Linked DNA regions of Macaca fascicularis. The protein of the gene in region 2 interacts with the protein of the main gene of each other region in a biochemical or structural test. Links are inferred from orthologs where the notes say so. Each region holds a gene or a part of one and is shown on either strand. Other genes may lie near its edges.

Region 1 (10,066 bases), about 67 Mb from region 2:
CCTCCGATCTCCTCTCCTGTGATCCAAGTTAATCTTCCCTGGTTGGGAAGATTCCCAGAGAGGGTATTCATGACAATTACGTTCCTTTTGGAGGAGACAGCTTTAGGCAGATAAGGGGATCTCAGAGACAGCCTCTGCCTGTATCCACTGTTTCCCAAGTGCCCTTGGTTCAAATAATCAGCATACCAAAGTGGCATATTTTGGGGTGGCATCTCCTGAACTCCTTCACATGTAAAGTACTTAGCATAGTCACTTGGCAGGATGTGAGCACTCAGAGAAGGTTGGGTATTACTATGATACAAAGTTATTCATTTAACATTGAGTCTCTCCTACCTAATGGGTGGCAGGTTCTGTGCTAGAGTGAACAAAGATGAGTAAGACACTCTGCCTGGCCTCGAAGAGCGCTCAGTTTAGTGAGAGACAGGTGTGGATAAAGATAACCACAGTACAGTACTATCACAGGGGGATGAATCAAATGCTGTAAGAGCTAAGAAGGAGGCAGCCTCGCCTACGGGGGAAAACCAGGAAGTGCTTCCCAGAGGAAGTGATCTTTGAGCCAAGTTATGAGTAATGAATAGAAATTTGCCAGGCACAGACAAGGAAGATGACATTCCAGGCAGAAGGTACCACCTATGTGAATGCATGAAGGCCTAAGAGAACATGATAGGTTTGGAGAACTAGGAGAGTTGGCTAAAGGTTCAGCTTAGGATCCATGAAGGAACAAAATGAAAAGGATGTCAGCAGGCAGATCGGAAAGGATCTTGAAGTCATATTATTGAGTTTGACCTTAACAGAATGCCCCTCCGGGCCAAAGTTATTCTCTCCATTCTTCTAACACCTTGAACACACCTTTATCAAAATATTTATCAAATTACTATTTGATTATTTGTTTACCTGTCTTTTCCATGGAACTATGGACCCCTTAAGAGCTTAAACCTTGGGTGGTGTTCGAATTCTCAATGCCTAGCATTCAGGTAGCACACAGCACATATGGAAAGAGTAAAGGAAGGAATTTCTCCAAAGTCACACAGCTATTCAGTAACAGAGTTGGGCTAAAGGGATCCTCCCACCTCAGCCTCCCAAAGTGCTGGGATTGCAGGCGTGAGCCACCGCACCTGGCCAGATTAGTGCTTTTCATATTGTGTTACTTAGAGCCCTGGAGTCCCTCACCTGGAGTGCCACTCACTGAGCAGGTTGAGGAAGATGGGCCAGTGGCTGAGTTGGCAGACTTCTTTGTATCCTCTTCAAATACATCAGTCCTTTTAGAAATTGTAGGTTCTTTAAAACTTGTTTTGGAAAAAGAATTATGCTACTACAAAAAGTTTAAGTACCATTATACTTTCATGATTGCTAAGTGCCCTAAACTAGGATGTTAAAAAATCTCCCATGCACAATAGGAGTTTAATGTGATAAAGTGTTTACACACAAAACACAGCAAATGACTCGTTTTTATTATTCCTTTTTTTCTTTTTCTTTTTTTTTTTTTTTTTTTTTTTTTTTTGAGACAGAGTCTCACTCTGTCGCCCAGGCTGGAGTGCAGTGGTGCGATCTCGGCTCACTGCAGCCTCCGCCTCCCGGGTTCAAGCGATTCTCCTGTCTCAGCCTCCTGAGTAGCTGGGATTACAGGCCAGTGCCACCAAGCCCAGCTAACTTTTGTATGCTTAGTAGAGACGGTGTTTCACCATGTTGGCTAGGCTGGTCTCGAACTCCTGACCTCAGGTGAGTTGCCCACCTCGGCCTCCCAAAGTGCTGGGATTACAGGCAGGAGCCACCACGCCCGGCCATTATTCCTTTTCTTCTAACCACTTTTTAATCTTGGTATTCTTTCAAAATAAGATGAAATGCTATGCTTAAAATGACAATTCTAATATTATAACAGGTACTCTAAAAGTAATTGGCATCCCCCATAAAGACTGTCATTTTGGTTGGGCACAGTGAATCACGTCTGTAATCCCAACACTTTGGGACAGTGAAGCGGGTGGATCGCTTGACCTCAGGAGTTTGAGACCAGCCTGGGCAACATGGTGAAACCCCGCCTCTACAAAAAAATACAAAAATTAGCCAGGAGTGGGGGCTTGCACCTGTAATCCCAGCTACTTGGGGGGCTTGAGGGGAGAGGATCACTTGAGTCCAGGAGGCAGAGTTTGCAATGACCCGAGATCGTGCCATTGCACTCCAGCACTCCAGCCTGGGTGGCAGAGAGAGACCCTGTCTCAAAAAAAAAAAAAAAAAAAAAAAAGACTAATTTTGAAAGCCATAGAAAAAATGGCTTACAAAGCTTAAGACCAAATTAAGATTCTGCATATTTTTTTCCTCTTAAGTAACAGTAAAGGCATGTTTTAATCCAAGCAAATGCAGAGAAGCAAATTATCTTTACTCTCACAATTACTACATTTCTAAGTTTCCTCCACAAATACTATCTTTTTCTTCTTTATATTCCCTGCTGAGCCTGACCCTGAAAGGTCAGTTTACTAGAGTTACTAGAGGTGCCAGATAAACCAAATAGGTAATTCGCCAAAGTCTCACTTCCTTCTTAGTTTATAAAGCAGGGGTTGCAAGGGAAGGTTTATTAGAATCACCTGGGAAGCTTTTTCAACCTGCATGTGTGCCACAGTCTCCTCTCCCTCTTAGGAAGCACTGTTCTAGTTTGGGGCTTCAATCTGTCCCACATTAAAGGTCTTCATCTTTCTAAATCCTACCCAACTGAAGGCTAATGGAGTAGAAACAACTGAACTCAGAAGTCACTGACTTTGTCACAAACTGGCTGGGCAAGTCCCTTAACCTTTCTGGTCTCAAGTTTTTCCTCCGATTTTGGGGGTTCCCTTTAAACTTTGACATTCTTCTATGTGACTGCATGTCATGTCTAAGAAGCCTTCTGAACTACTCCTAGCATAGAACCAAGACTTGCCCTTTCTTGGTTTTCCAACAGCCTGTGCAGTACAACGTATCACCTATTTTATACTGTCCTATATTGCCCTCTAGTTGTTTTTTAATGAAGCTTTTCTCTTCTCAACTATATGTAGTTTAAAATACTAGTTTAAAAGTTTATATTCAGGGTTAGACAGTGTGCCTGCTACTTAAATCTCCTAGGACAATTCAGGCTGCGTCCTAAGGTAATCAGTATGTATTTATACTGCTTTGTTCAAAACAATGATGTCCCTTCTTTGAAGTCCTGAAATTATATTTTTCATCAGTTCTGTCCAGTAGAAATATAACGGGAGCTACAAATATAGTTTTAAATTATCTGGCAGGCACATTTACAAAGTGAAAATAAACAAGTACAATTAATTCTAATAATATATTTAATCCAATATATCCAAAAGACTATCATTTCAACATGTAGTCCCTGTAAAAAGTATTGACATTTTTCATTCTTTTTTTTTTTTAATGTCTTTGAAATCTGGGGTTTTTTTACACTTGCAACACACCTCGATTCCAAATAGCCACTTTCAGGTGCTTAGTAGCCACAAGCAGCTAGTAACTACCTACTGAACAATGCAGTTCTGCATAACTGGGCTGCTTTCCAAACTGATCACTTTTTTTTTTTAATTCAGATAATGACTGATACTGAGTACTCAGGCTAGCCAGAGTGGTGCAAAGATGAGTCAAATTCATTGCGATAAGAGACATTTGTAAGTCACTAGCAATTATACAGTGTGGTAGGTGCCATGATAGAGATGCAGAGAAGAAACCCAGACTTGGTGGCTGAAGGGCACAGGATGGAAGGCGGTGGGGAGACAAGGAAGGTTGCACAGAAATAACATTTGACATAGGAACTAAGTGCACGAAGGGAAGCCGGCTGTGCGGTGACCGAAGTTGCAGGTTACCAATCTTGCTGAGGGGGGCTCCACTGGACCCCGGATCGTAGGCATGTGTGGTGTGAAGGGGGAAGAGGACGGGAGAGGATTGGCCGGGAGGAACCCGGAGCTCCAGCTGGTGGGTGGACGGAAGCCGCAGGGGGGCGCTACTTGCACTTCGCGCTCAAGCGACGGGATCTTCAAACCGTGGGAGTGGTGCGGCGGCTGGAGTCCCTGGACTCCTCAATCGAGGGAGCTACTCGCGAGGTAAGAGGCGCGCCTGACCGGCTCCTAAAGCGCACTCGCTCGTCCGCACTCCTGGCCCTCCGAATTCAGCCTCGCCACACCCGGGCTTCAGAGCCCACAGAACTTCTCAGCCCCGTGTCAGCGACGAGGAGCTCATGGTAAAACAGCGCCTAGGGTTTCGTTTGTTTGTTTGTTTTTAACAGATGCCTACGACTTGTAATAGGCTGCCTCATAAAATGAGTCTATGGAAACGGTTGCCAGGGCCGGCGAACGGCGGCTCCCGGAAGTCCTTTGATGCTTTGGTAACAGTGAGGCTACTGGACCAATGAGCTGCCTCTTCCGGTTTTGTCCGCGGTCGCCCAGTTCTTCTTTATCAAGGTTGCCTTTGACCCCGGGAAAGAGATCTTCCGGGTTCCTCTCTCCCCAAGATGGCTGCTGAGGACGAGTTACTGCTGCCGCGGCTCCCCGAGCTGTTCGAAACGGGCAAACAGTTACTGGACGAAGTAGAAGTAGCGACTGAACCTGCCGGTTCCCGGATAGTCCAGGAGAAGGTGTTCAAGGGCCTGGACCTCCTTGAGAAGGCTGCCGAAATGTTATCGCAGCTCGACTTGTTCAGGTAGGGGGGAAGATAGTAATAATGGCTGAGAACGAAGGTAATAATGGTTACCAAGGGTGGAGCCATTGCGTCTGAGTGGAGGGGACCTTTAGTAGTGAGAACCTTTCGTTCCTACTTACCACTGCGATCTTGTGTACATTGTTTACATTCCCCACCTCTCTTCCCAGATGGTTGATATCCCACGACTCTGCTCCCTAGTGTCTGCTGATTGCAAGGCACTGGATGTGAGCGCTCAGCCACTTTCATTGAGTGAAACTGGGCGCTGTTACCCGTGCCTCCTCCCTCTGCTCCACTCCCAGCCCAGCCTCCCACTCCGTCCCCCAGGAGCCAAGGCCACAATTTGAATGCCTAGCCAGGCTTCACTGCCTCCTTTTTGCTCTTCCAGCCGAAATGAAGATTTGGAAGAGATTGCTTCCACCGACCTGAAGTACCTGTTGGTGCCAGCGTTTCAAGGAGCCCTCACCATGAAACAAGTCAACCCCAGCAAGCGTCTAGATCATTTGCAGCGGGCTCGAGAACACTTTATGAACTACTTAACTCAGTGCCATTGCTATCATGTGGCAGAGTTTGAGCTGCCCAAAACCAAGAACAACTCAGCTGAAAATCACACTGCCAATTCTTCCATGGCTTATCCTAGCCTCGTTGCTATGGCATCTCAAAGACAGGCTAAAATAGAGAGGTGGGTCAATAGCTATAATATGAGGGCTGCCCAATGGCAGTGCTTTTCGGGGGCATGCTTTCTTGGCGGTTGGTGGGGGGCCAGAATGGTGTGTGTCACTTTCTTGGTTCTTATTGAGCATAGGCCCTGGGGAGAGCAAACTTTCCTGAGTTTTTCAAGAAGCCTCTGCTTTTGTTGAGATGATTATACTTACCTGTCAGACCCCGACGACCTTATGGTTGCCAACAGCAGCAATGTAGTTTAGCAGAGTGTCTCCCAACCTTTTCCACATCACATCATAGCAATGTTCACATGGTACAGTGGGGTAGATGTCTCTGGAAGACAAAGCTAGGCCATTTTATGGTCCACTGATTGAGGAGCTCTGTTCAGACTGCTGGAGTAGATGTGTAACATCCTGAACTCATCTTAGTCCTGGCACAGCTTCATCGTGTGATCTTGGAAAAGTTGCTTACTTTCTTAGGTTTTTTTGTTGTTTGTTTTTTAAACAACATTTAATGGGTGGTCATGCTGTCTAGGAACTATGCTAGGCACTGGGGATACAAAGTATATAGGTGTTTGTGTGAGTATGAGTTGTCCGTGCCTTGGAGGAGCATACAATCTGGTGAGGAAAACGGGCATAGAAACAGAATATCAATATAAACTGATGTTATGGAGGGTTGTACAAGGTACTATGAGAGCAGACGGGAGGGGCACCTAACCAAAGGGAGCAGGAGAGAGGAGAAAGCTCCCTGGAAGAGGTGACTTCTGTGCTGAGTTCTTTAAGGGTAAATAGGAATATCCAGAGGAAGAGGAGAGGAGGGCATTAGCCAGCAGAGTATGTAATAGCCTTAGTAAAGCCATAGAGGCATTAAAGAAACAGTGATGGGTGGAGATGTGTAGGACGAAAACAACAGCTATAGGCAATTAGGTGATGGTAGAACACAAAGAGGGTGGTGGTAAGGGGGAAGGAATGATACTGAAGAATGTTGTAGGGTCCACATCAAGGAGAGCCTGGGATGTGAGGAACGTGAAGAGAAACTTGTTGCTGAGAACTTGATAAGGTGTTTGAATCCCAGCTCGACCGCTGTGATTAGTCACTGATTTTTGGCAAATTATTTAATCTTTCAGTACCTGAATTTCCCCAGCTGCAAAATTCAGATAATAGGTCCTTCCTTATAAAGTGGTTTTTGAGGATTAAAAGACAAATATATATATAAAGCAGTTAGCACAATGTTTGACACAGTAAACACTCAAAGTCAACTATTATTATTTGCGGCTAAGAGTATGGGTCGTAGAGTGAGAGACCTGGGTTTGAGACCCAGCTTTACTTATAATTTGTTGGACTTTGGAGAAGTTATTTAACCTAACTGAGCCTCAGCTTTCCTCATATGTGAAATCTAAATAATAATGGTACAGGTGGTCCCCGATTTGCGATGGCTTGTCTTAGAATTTTTTGACTTTATATTGGTGCAGAAGCAATACACATTCAGGGGAACATCAATAAATTACATGAGTTATTCAACACTTTATTATAAAATAGGCCTTGTGTTAGATGATTTTGCCCAACTGTACGCTAATATAAGTGTTCTGAACATGTTGAAGGTAAACTAGGCTAAGCTATGATGTTCAATAAGCTGTATTAAATGTGTTTTCAACTTCCCATATTTTCAATTTATGATGGATTTATTGGGATGTAGCCCCGTTCTAAGTTGAGACACACGTGTACCTACCTCAGGGTTAATAAGCACAAATGGGAAAAAGCACATAAAACAGCCCAATATCTGGCACATGGTGAGTATTCTGTAAATATCAGCTGCTATCAGATAGGACATGCCAAAGAGCTTACTCTGGTTGGTGACTGAGATCCACTGAAGAGTTCTGTTTCTTTTTTCTTTTTTTTTTGATACAGAGTTTTGCTCTTGTCACCCAAGCTGGAGTGCAGTGGTGTGATCTCGGCTCACTGCAATCTCCACCTCCTGGGTTCAAGCAATTCTCCTGCCTCAGCCTCTCGAGTAGCTGGGATTACAGGCACCTGCCACCACGCCCGGCTAATTTTTGTATTTTTAGTAGAGCTGGGGTTTTGCCATGTTGGCCAGGCTGGTCCGCCTCGGCCTCCCAAAGTGCTGGGATTACAGGTGTGAGCTGCTGCGCCCTGGCTGTTTCTTTTCAAATAGTAGCATGATCACATTTGTATTTTAACTAGTACACTCTAACAGCAGTTAGGAAACAATGAGGGAAAAGATTAGACCCAGTTAAGTCACAAAGGTGACTGGGGTTTACTATTGCAATGGTAGAGGGATGGGGGAACATATTTAGGAGGGTTGAATCTACAGGAAACCTGGTGATCAATTGGTTGTGGAAGGTGGGATAGAAGGAAGCAGCAAGGAAAGATGTCCATGTTTCTGATTTAGGTGGATGGCTGTGAAATTTATTGCGATGGGGAAAGAGGAAAAAGAGAAGATGGGGGAAGGTGAGAGTATGAATTTAGTATTGAAACATGTTGAGTTTAAGGTGCCTAGGAGATAAGTAGAGGTATCTGTTAGTCTGAAGCTCAGAGGAGAGGCTTGGTCTAGAGAGCTGAAGATGACTCATTTATTCAAAAATATTTATTAATTCCTTCCTGTGTGCCAGGAGCTGTTCTAGGTGTTAGAGAACCAGATAAAGTCAGTGCTGCTATGGAGCTTTTATTCTGGTGCGAGAGAAAAACAATAAGCTAGTAAATAATGAAATTTCAGCTGGTAAGGACTATGAGGAATAATAAAGTTAGGGGATAGTGAGTGACTGAGGATATGGGCTAGACTGATATGAAATGGAATTTAACATCCTGTCCTTTGTAAGTAGTTGGGGGCAGCCTGTCAGCAGGTAGTAGGTAGTTTAAACAGTGAGTTTGGTATCCAAATAATTATACAAAAAAAAAAAAAAAACCTGCAAGAGAAAGACGAGGGAGTGGTCACATCTGGTTGGAGGGATGAAGAAAAGGTTTCAGAACATAATGGCATTTGACACCAGGCACGGTGGCTCACGCCTGTAATCCCAGCACTTTGGGAGGCTGAGGCAGGTGGATCATTTGAGGTCAGGAGTTCAAGACCAGTCTGGTCAACATGGTGAAACCCCCGTCTCTGGAAAAAAAAAAAAAAAAAAAAAATTAGCTGGGAGTGGTGATGCACTCCTGTAATCCCAGGTACTCGGGAGGCTGAGGCAGCAGAATCGCCTGAGCCCGGGAGGCAGAGGCTGCAGTGAGCCGAGATCGCGCTATTGCACTCCAGCCTGGGTAATGGAATGAGACTCTGTCTCAAAAAAAAAAAAAAAAAGAACATAAATGGTATTTGAGACGAGTCTTACAGGATGATTAAAAATAGAAATTAGGCTGAGCATGGTGGCTCATGCCTGTAATCCCAACACTTTGGGAGGCCGAGGCGGGAGGATTACTTGAGCCCAGGAGTTCAAGAACAGCCTAGGCAACAAAGTAAGACTCTGTCTCTACCAAAAAATAAAAATAAAAAATTAGGTGTGGTGGCACAGTCCTGTAGTCCCAGCTACTCCAGAAGCTGAACTGAGCTGGGAGGATCACTTGAGCCCCTGGAGGTTGAGGCTGCAGTGAGCTGTGATCACACCATTGTATTCCAGCCTAGATGACAGAGTGAGACCCTGTCTCAAAAAAAAAAAAAAAAAAAGATTTTCTTGAGTGTAAAAGTAATAGTGCTCATTGTAGAAAGTTTGCAAAACAGAAGAATATTTTTTAAATTAAAAATAAGCCTCAGTCCTAGCACTCATGATGATCATTGTTAACTTTCTGGTGTGTTTCCTTTCAGATATATAGTTATTTAAGTTAATAAATTTGGAATGCTGTAACTATCCTGTTTTTTTAACCTAACGTACCGTGAGCATTTCCTCGTGTTTTTTGAAACCATGATATTGAATGTTCCATGCTCTAGTTGTACCATAATTATTTAATCTGTTATTATCAAATATTTAGACACTGGTTTTTTGCTATTCTAAGTAATGCTATAAACAAACATCTTTAAATGCATCTGTCACTGTTTCCTTAGGGTGGATTTCTGGAGCCAGTGACTGGGTCAAAGTGTTTGAATATTTTGAGGCTCTTGACATATGGTAAAAGTGTTGCTTTCCACAATAACAGAGTTTCAGAATATGTTCCACTGCATTTGTCTTGGATGTTAATACTTAGAAAATCCAATTGCGTGGCCGGACGCGGTGGCTCACACCTGTAATCCCAGCACTTTGGGAGGCCAAGGCGGGTGGATCACCTAAGGTCAGAAGTTCGAGACCAGCCTGGCCAACATGGCAAAACCCCATCTCTACTAAAAATACAAAAATTAGCCAGGCGTGGTGGCGGATGGCTGTAATCTCAGCTTCTTGGGAGGCTGAGGAAGGAGAATTGCTGGAACCCAGGAGGTGGAGGTTAAGCTGAGATCGCACCATTGCACTCCAGCCTGGTCTGACAACAGCGAGACCCCATCTCAAAAAAAGAAAAGAAAAAGAAAAAAGAAAAAAAAAGATAATCCAATTGGGCAAACAGAAAGTATCTATTGTTTTGATTTGCATTTCTTTGGCCTGCCTGCTTTGAATGTTTTTCTTAAATGCCTGACAGATATCAACACTTAACTTTATACTAATGTCTCCCACATTCATATCACTAGCCCAGACTCTTCCTGACCTTCAGACCCATACTTGCAACACCCTTCCTTCCTGGGTGTTTCACAGACATGTCATACTTTGAACCCTTGG
Region 2 (9,966 bases):
AGACCACGTGGCCTGGCCTACATAGCCAAAAATATTTACTGTCAGGCCCTTTGCAGAAAAAGTATGCTGGTCCCTGACCTAAAAAGGAAGGATTTTAGAGGTGCTGGTGTTGTGTTTGTATCCAAGAGGCAACTGGAAATCCTTTGACCTACCCACATGTGACAACACACACTGTCCCATACTCACTGGGTCAGTTTCTTGCCCAGCATCGTGTATTGCCAGAGTTGAATTTACCAAACCTTTTCCTGTGATTGTCTGAGAGCTGTATACTGGGCAGAAGGAAGCTGCCAACTGCAACAGTGGCTGTCGAGTTTGGACACCATGGCATTTGCATCAGGTTGTAACTCATTTCCTGCCTTTAAATGCCTTGTACCCAATGCAGTGTTGAATGACAGGCAGTACTCCAAACCAATATTGAATTGTCAAAGAAGTAACAACTATGACAAAATGTCCAGGTGTGACTCTGCCAAGATTTTTTAATACTTAAATCTTTAAGATACAAATGTGAGTAATGAAATAGAGAAGGCCTTGTTATTTATAAATAATTTCATGAGTAGAAAACCCAGGCATTGCTATCACAGTTTTTCCTAATTTTATGGCCTGAAAATTGTATTCTCATCCTAAATTCCTAAGAGTAATGCTTTAATTTTTAATAATCTCAGAATAATATAAACCTCTAGAGTATTCTATATGTTAAAACCAAAGATCTTGATTTGTTTGGCTTCTCGTCTGAAGTCTATTGAGCATGAATGCATCTTATGCTGGATAGAACACTGCAGTGGTTGAAAATGGAGTCTTCATTCATTCCTCCTTTTTAGGATGCTATCCAGCCGGTATGTACCTGTGCTGGTTGTGTACACCTGGAATCCATGAAGCTAGCTCACACTATGTGTTCTAGCTAAGCCTTGTCCATGCTGTTGTTGAATAGTTGGCATACCACCACTGGATCCCTATATTAGAACTTGTAGACTGAAAGCTTATGAAGGCAGGCACATGTTCTTATTCACTCTTATTGTGTACTATACTTTACACAGAGTTTCTGCTCTCTATTGTCTTTTGAATATTATGAAAACTTTGCAAGCAAATGTCTTTGAAAGTTGCTTATAACGTTTAAATTACTATTAAAATATAAGATACCACTTTGTGATAGGAGGCATGTCTCAGGGAGGGCTGACTTGTTCCTGTCTTTTAAATCTGATTTTGAAAATATGCTATTGGTTATAATAAAATAAACAATCCTCTTCCTCTTCCTTTTTCTGTTTTGTGAACTTGTTTTCAGGCCAACCATTTAAACTGGATCCCAAATCTGCTCATCGAAAACTGAAGGTGTCCCATGACAACTTGACAGTAGAACGTGATGAATCATCATCCAAGAAGAGTCACACGCCTGAACGCTTCACCAGCCAGGGGAGCTATGGAGTAGCTGGAAATGTGTTTATTGATAGTGGCCGGCATTATTGGGAAGTGGTCATAAGTGGAAGCACATGGTAGGCAACTTATATTCATTGTCCTGCAGTTATAAAAAGGCACATCTCATTCTGTACTTAGAGAGTCAACCCATACTGAAATGCATCTTAAAGAATAAAGTGCAGAAAAGTTGTATTAGTCAGCTATTGCTAGGTAATGCTGCATAACAAACACCCCCAAACTCAGCAAATTCAAACAATGACCATATATTACTAATACCCACATCTGTGGGTTCTCTGTTCAAGATTATAGAGCTCTGGTCATTGGAAGAGCTATACCATGCTAACACTGCTCTTTTATGCCATAAAACATGGGTCAGCAAACCACAGCCCATGAGCCAAACCTGGCCTGCTACCTGGTTTTGTAAATAAAGTTTTATGGGAATACAGCCAGGTCCATTTTTTTACATGTAGTCTATGGCTGCCTTTCAGCCACAACAGCAGAATCGAGTAGTTAAGAGAGAATCATATGGTCTATGAAGCCAAAAATATTTACTTCCTGGTCCTTTCAAGAAAAAGTTTGCAATTCCCTACTTTAAAACATCACTCTTCATCATTATACAAAACTAATTTCTGTTGCCTTGTATGTTTTATGATTCTAGACTGGACCAATTAGTGCAAATAGCTGAGGGCTGAATGGTGGGGGTGAAGCAGTGATCATAGGCTGGGAATAATTTCAAAAGGCCTGTTAGATCCAGCCCAGTAACTTTAGCCCACTGAGTTCTCTAAGAATAAGGGCAAAGGTCAGGACACAATTACACTGGAATTAGTTAACCTCACAAAGTTAACCTTGCCTAATCCACAGCCACAAACTGCACCCCTTACTTTGACCGTCTGTCTCACAAATGCCTGCTTGCTATTGATCAAAAAGGGAGCTATTTTATTTTTATTTAATAAGCCCTCATATGGTACAAGTATGTGCCAGGCACTGGTCTAAGCATTTTACAGATGTCAACTCATTTATTCAGGCTTACAGCCCTACAAAGGTAGGTGCTAATATTATCCACTTTACTGATGAGGTGACTGAGGTATATGCTGAAGATCACAGGGTTACAAAGCTCACAGGTGGCAGAGTCAGCAAGTCTGCAGTCAAGGGTCAGGCTCTTAACCAGCAGTCCACAAACATTATCTGTAAAGGGCCAGAGATTCAATATTTCTGGTTTTGCACACCAAATGATTTTTGTCACTAATACTCGACTCTTCTGTTTTAGTGGGAAAGCAGCCACAGACAACACCTACACAAATGGACATGGCTGCATTCCAATAAAACTTCATTTATAAAAACAGGCAGAGGGCCAGAGTTCGCCCCTGGGTAGTAGTTTGCTGTTCCCTGCTCTTAACCACCATGCTATGCTGCTATTCACAAAAGGGTGGTATATTTTTGAAATGCTATAATTACTCTCTAGGGCTTACAATAGTGTACTTAATGAGTGATAGCTAAATCCTTGCTTTAAAAAATAAAATCAATATTCAAAATTGCATAGCCTGAAGATGGTGAGTATAACTGTTTCAATATAAGCATGATAAAACACTTCTTATTTATATATTTAAAAAACGTTCAATTCAAACCTATGCAAATAATGTGACATGTCTGAATCCCTTGTATTGTAGGTAGAAATTAGCCAAAAATCTAAGAAGTGAATTGTAAGCTTCCCATCTCTCCCAATAATGGTACATACTATATTGGCTGAGCGAGTAGGTTTTCCTTTGTTGTTATCCTCATAATTCTCTTTGCCTAGAAGATTTTTCTGTTCCAACATCCTGCCAGAGGATGGAGGACAAATCCTTCATCCCACTAGGCTCTGGGCTAGATAGGCATTTGCCATTTTTAGCTGTGATGGGGCAAAATTAAAGCACAAAGGAAAACACAATGAATGCAGGTACAAAAAAGCAAATGTTTCTAGCTAATTAATATGCTGTATTAATCTGGGATAGAATCCAGGGTCTAAATGATTATTACTCTATTAATAATTATTTATGATAAATGAAACCTGATCATTATGATCTCATTGCCATTGATGAATAGTTTGCAAAATTCCATCAGACCACTTCAGTTATATAAACACAGATCAGCATTACCTTGAAAACACCCTCCAGATGTCAAAACTAACTCATAAGGGGGAAAAGAAATTCTAAAATTAATTGCTACACAATTAATCTTTACAAACTTAACTGTGTCAATTTCAGAAAAATCTTCATGTAGAAAGTCACTTTACATTTCCTGGGGGGTATTAGCAAGGAAGGGGTGCCCCCTACAATTAAATGCCTGTGACATCTTGATTTGCAACAGCTAATGACATATATTTGCTTGTCAAATATAGTCCTGACTTTAAATTAATGTGTACATTATGATCTGTGCAATGGGGCATGTTAACATTGCCCTGAGAGACATAATTTTTATACTTTGAATTCTCCGTGTCTCACTGCATAACTTAATGGAACATTACATTCTGCCTACACCTTTCAAGCTCAATGGAAATATGTACCTAGTTTCACAGATTAATGATACTATAATGGTATTTTCCTTTGCTTAATGGACTATACACTTAGTTATTTTCTTACTCTCTGATGCTAATGTGCACTTGGTGTTTTTTTTGTTTTGTTTTGTTTTGTTTGTTTGTTTTTTTGAGACGGAGTCTTGCTCTGTCGCCGAGACTGGAGTGCAGTGGCCGGATCTCAGCTCACTGCAAGCTCCGCCTCCCGGGTTTACGCCATTCTCCTGCCTCAGCCTCCCGAGTAGCTGGGACTACAGGGAGTAGTCCGCCACCTCGCCCGGCTATTTTTTTTTTTGTATTTTTTACTAGAGACGGGGTTTCACCGGGTTAGCCAGGATGGTCTCGATCTCCTGACCTCGTGATCCGCCCGTCTCGGCCTCCCAAAGTGCTGGGATTACAGGCTTGAGCCACCGCGCCCGGCCGTGCACTTGGTGTTTTATGAAATGGTGTTAACTAAACGAGTAATAACGGATTCATGCAAAGATTATTAGACCAGAAGGGGTGGGGGCAGCATACAACTCTGGATTTTGCTCCCAATTTTAATATTCTGTTTCTATTTGCTACATGTAGTCAGCCATACCTGCCACAGCTATTTCATAGGGTTCAGTTAAGGTTCAAATGGGAAATAAACATCAAAGTAATAAAAAATAAAAATGCTGTGTCACAACAAGAAGGAAACAATACAGATGTGGTGATTTTGTGATGCAAATGCAGGTTCCAAATTATCTGAAAGATGAAAATGGTATTTACTGGGGTATACAGAACATTTTAGGGAGTGGGAGATACTGACAATTGCAAAATGAAAACCTTTCCAAAGTGTATGTATTAGTCCATTTTCATGCTGCTGATAAAGATATAACCAAGATAGGGCAATTTACAAAAGAGATTTATAATGGACTTAACAGTTCCATGTGGCTGGGAAAGCCCACAATCATGGCAGAAGGCAAGGAGGAACAAGCCACGTCTTACATGGATGGCAGCAGGCAAAAAGAGAACTTGTGCAGGGAAACTCCCCCTTTTTAAAACCATCAGATCTCGTGAGACTTATTCACTATCACAAGAACACTGAAAGGACCTGCCCCCATGATTCAGTTTCCTCCCACCGGGTCCCTCCCACAACATGTGGGAATTCAAGATGAGATTTGAGTGGGGACATAGCCAAACCATATCAATGTATCAAATAAACAGATGACATTTGAGACCCTTGATGCACTCCCCAGAGGAAGGGACCCAGAAGCTTACAGGACCCTGGAAGGGCTGGGGCACAAAGTCCGGGAGTCTGCTGCTCTAGTTCGTGGAGTCATGATGAGCTGTAGCTGCTGCAAAATTGCCCACAGCACAAGGCAGGTGTACTCAGGTGCTCATCTAGAAGCTTCCACCAACTGCACATCTACTGTCTGCCATCAGGAAAGAGTGTTTCCCCTCCTCTAAGCACTTCTGGATCTTGTGCAAAGGCATCACAATAGCAGAGCCTGACTCAGACTCCTACAGGAAAGGGGATTCTGGGAAATGCAACTTGGATTCTCCTCATAAGCAGGAGAGGATGGATGGGAGGGAAGAGAAGATGCAACACTGATGACAGACAGGCCTGCACACTGGGCTTGGCAGATTATCAATTCCATCCTCCTTTTGGATTTAATGATGGCATGGTGTATTAATTTTCTTTTTAAACACACCACTCCTAAAGTGATTGTATTTTAAGTCCAGTGTGATTTTTTTAAAGAATGTCATTTTATTAAAGATCCATGAAATTTTTCTCTCTGCATTGGGTAAGATACCATGTGTTAATATCCAGTTAGGCTGGTTTCTGCTATAACATATTAAAAGTTCACCTGTGAGTCATTTACTGTTTATTAAGAGTGATGGGTTTTGTTTATCTTAATAACTGAAATACTATGAATATTACAGAGGCATGCTTCAGAGGGGTAAAAAGAGACTAAGAAGCTTAGAACAAACATTGTAGAAAGCATTCTTTGGATTTTTTTTTTTTTTTTTTTTTTTTTTTTTTTTGAGCAGCAAGAGAACATTTAGAATAACCAGAAGATCGTCTGCTCAAACACATTCAGAATTTTTTTTCGGTGTAGTAGGAAATATAATCAGAAAGGCTCTTGGCAGTGATGGACTGCACAATTTCTGGTTATGGTTGGCATTGTAGAATGTAGTTCGTGTTTGTGGGTTTTGAGTCATCCTAAGTTCAAATTCTGATTCTGGTACTTATTGTTAATATGTGCCATCAGGCAATAATAATAAAATAGCAGTTACTAAATATTGCATGCCAGGTCCTGTGCCTAGGACTTAACACGTATTCTCTCCTTTACTCCTTAAAATCACACACTGCAAGATGGAGACTATCGTTGTCCCTGTGGTATACATGAGAAAACTGGGGCTGAGTAATGACAAAGGACTTATCCCCACAAATGGAAATCATCTTCTGTGCTTGCCCTTGGCAAAATGCTTTCAGAATCAGAAAATGACAGACATAGTGTTAAATTAAAAATTATAAGAAGGTCAAAAGGAGAAGTCTAGGGTTGTGCTGTCCAATATGGTAGCTATGAGCCACATGCAGCTATTTAAATCATTTAACTTAATGAAAATTAAATAAATTTAAAGTTCAGTTCCTCAGTCTCACCAGCTGCAGCTAAAGTGCCCGGTAGCCATATGTAGCTTGTGGTTACCACATCGAGGAGAGCAGGACATTTCAATCATTGAAGAAAGTTCTTTTGGTCAGCACTGGTCTAGCGAATTCATTGTGTAGATTTTTATAAAAGTGAAAAAAAGCAGCAAAATACAAAGTTCAAATTCTCTGTAGTGTTTGAGCTGAAAACAGAAATGTGGGTAAATATGATGCTTCTTTCCCTGTTTGTGAGGGAAGGAGATGAGGAACACAGATGTTGGGGTTCTTGCCAAGCTTTCACTTAAAGAAAATGAACAGGGACAACAAATGATCATGTTTTTATAACCCCTGAGGACCACAGAACGGATTTAATGTGCATATGCAACATGGCTCATTGTTTTTGTTGTTGCTGTTTTGTTTCTGCAGGTATGCTATTGGTCTTGCTTATAAATCAGCCCCGAAGCATGAATGGATTGGGAAGAACTCTGCTTCCTGGGCGCTCTGCCGCTGCAACAATAACTGGGTGGTGAGACACAATAGCAAGGAAATCCCCATTGAGCCTGCTCCCCACCTCCGGCGCGTGGGCATCCTGCTGGACTATGATAACGGCTCTATCGCCTTTTATGATGCTTTGAACTCCATCCACCTCTACACCTTCGACGTCGCATTTGCGCAGCCTGTGTGCCCCACCTTCACCGTGTGGAACAAGTGTCTGACGATTATCACTGGGCTTCCTATCCCAGACCATTTGGACTGCACAGAGCAGCTGCCGTGAGCGTCTGGCCACATGGAGGAGCTTTCTGGGGAACAAAAAGGTTCAGGCCACTATTTAGGAGACTGAGAAAGCACAGGCTTCATGAGTGTAATGAAATCTCACCAAAAGTGTCCAGAAATCGGCTCAGATAGGGCTCAAAACAGGAGATTCCTCTCCTTTTACTGTGTCTTGTATTAAGTACGGGCTTTAATAATTTCTTTAATTTTTTTTTGTATTTAGAGGAAAATCTATAGATTATTTATAAGAGAAACATAATCGGGATTACAACTTTTAGGAATTACTTGGTTTTGCACATTAAGAGGCCCATAAGTTTATCAGCTATTTACAACCTGTATTTCATCACAATCTATGGGCTTGCAAAAAAACAAACAAACAAAAAAAAACTTTTGTAATTTTGTATGTTTATTCATCTTCTCACCTAACATCTCATAATGATCCCATGATAAGTCTTCTCACCTCGATGGTGCATAACAGGAAGTGTCTGAACCTAGTAGGGGAGTAAACAGGCTTTCTTACTCTGGTTTAATATGAAGTGTTTTAATTGTGGTGTCAAAAACTTGTATCAGATCAACTAAAATGGAGAGCAAGACAGAGAATGAAAAGAATTGATTTTGGACCTTGGACCTTGCCGCGGCTAAATCTTTACCCTCTGATAGCTGATGAGATAATGTTGGAAAGAAAGGTTCTGAATCCTTTGGCCGCATTTTGCCCTGCTTCTCTCAGGGTTAAGGGTTCTGGAAGAACATTAAGAATGAGATTGCAATTGAAAATAGTCATTTTGAATCCTATTGATTATTCAAAACTTCAGGCTGATTTGTCTTTTTCGGAGGTAGGATTCTGTTTTATGGTATAAAATCTACTTTATCCTTCCTTTTAATAGTTTCTTTAGACCTGTGAAATCTCTTCACTACGTTTAATAGTTATCCTATTTCCCCCTCCCCCATATCAATTTTCCTTTTGTCTCTGGGGCTGAGTAAATAAACATGTTCTGTCACAAATAGCAGCACCACTTTGGATTGATTTTGCTCTCCAGGACATCAGCACATGGCCCTGATCACCACTACCACATCCAAACATAAGTCACTGAAAAACACTTAATATTTATGAGTTGGTAATGACAAGGGACATTGCATAAAGTACTATTTACTAGATACATGCCTCAAAAGTTATTATAAACAGACCTTTATTAAACACATCTTGAAATATGTAGAAGTCCCTCTATAGTCTAGTATAGTTTACAATAGAGTTGTAAGACCAAAAAAAAAAAAAAAATTCAAACTCGTTATTCAGGAACCTGCTTATAAAATGTCAGTTGGCATTCTTTGCATGCCAATCTGATGCGTTGGAATGGTCCATGAATTAAGGCTTTCTTGAGCAGTTCTTGGACCAGAACTCTGGCATTGGTTCTACTTTGATGAAGGGCGTGACCTCTATAAATGGTTTCAATTGCTAAAATATTTACCTGGGATACTGGGTCAGCCATTTTTACTGAACAGACTAGTGGATTTAGACATTGTTTTTAGTTATTTTGTTTTTAACCAAATCAACCAACTGCCTCCCTGAAATAAATCAATGAGGTCCTTCCATCCTCTTCCCTAGCAGACACTCTCCTTTTTCTTAACAGATAGATTCTATATATTTACTATATTATTTATACCCAGATGAATATTTTGATAGATACCTAAGACAATTTCACATCTAAAAGATGGACACCTCAATGGAAAAAAAAATCTTTCTCTGGAAACCTTATGGGTTTTTCTTTTTATTACAATATAAAAGCAATGTGTGTTTGCCTTCTCTGAATAAACTGAAAGGGTTGTCTCAGTAATTTTTACATACATTTTGGGTAACTGGATAATGGATATTTTAATGCACTTTGTACACTAACAGGTTCTAAATAAAAGGGTCTAAAACTCAGCTTCTGAGTTTTTAAAATCATGGTCTCCAGGTACCAATAAATGCTACAGTTTGCCTTATGATGTTAACATAAAATAGTTAGTAGAAGGACAATATTTCCATGAAAATAATGTTTTTCAATATTAAGAAGTTACTACTCAAATTTTCACAGTAAGCCATTTAGGGTATGTTTTGGCTATTTTTATAAGGACATGAGAGATTATGTCATAATTTTGTTGTGGAAGTCTCACTCTTGGCTAACTTAAAAGCATTGTGGATAGTAGCAGTTACTAGTTCCAGGTTGTCGTATTTACAGGAAAATATGTATATGGTGAAAGGCCACCATGTTTAATTACTATAATGATGTAGAAAAGATTCCCATGTGATTTTTTTTTGAAAGTCTAAAATATGTATGCTGTAAAAATTTGCTGCAGTGTAATTTTGCATTCTCTTTAAACTAATTGAGGTCACAGTATTTTATTATTTGAGGTCCTCACCACAGGAAACACTGCGATACAGGGGCAAAAGAGATGGCAGTGCCAATTAAATTAATACAACAAAATCAATGCAGCACCAACCAAGACTGCTAGGTCTGGTGTCATGGGTATGCCCAGAGCCCAGGAGTTCAGAAGGGCCCTAAGCTTGATTTAATGCTCTGCTGTTGCTGTCTTGAAATTCTTAATGATTTTTGAACAAGGGGCCTGCATTTTCACTTTGCAC

Evidence for each region.
Region 1: of the proteins of MID1 (region 2) and IGBP1, one has a biochemical effect on the other in vitro, tested with the Homo sapiens proteins (5 studies listed by BioGRID, with this or other methods). The link is inferred for Macaca fascicularis from reciprocal best matches to the Homo sapiens genes MID1 and IGBP1.

The regions. Positions count from the first base shown.
Region 1 is NC_088395.1:76,887,194-76,897,259, forward strand, and holds the start of IGBP1 (immunoglobulin-binding protein 1), read left to right. Parts: upstream 1-4,458; 5' UTR 4,459-4,471; coding exon 4,472-4,659; intron 4,660-5,044; coding exon 5,045-5,338; intron 5,339-10,066. UniProt on the Homo sapiens protein: Associated to surface IgM-receptor; may be involved in signal transduction.
Region 2 is NC_088395.1:10,133,343-10,143,308, reverse strand, and holds the end of MID1 (E3 ubiquitin-protein ligase Midline-1), read left to right. Parts: intron 1-1,279; coding exon 1,280-1,487; intron 1,488-7,001; coding exon 7,002-7,350; 3' UTR 7,351-8,348; downstream 8,349-9,966. UniProt on the Homo sapiens protein: Has E3 ubiquitin ligase activity towards IGBP1, promoting its monoubiquitination, which results in deprotection of the catalytic subunit of protein phosphatase PP2A, and its subsequent degradation by polyubiquitination.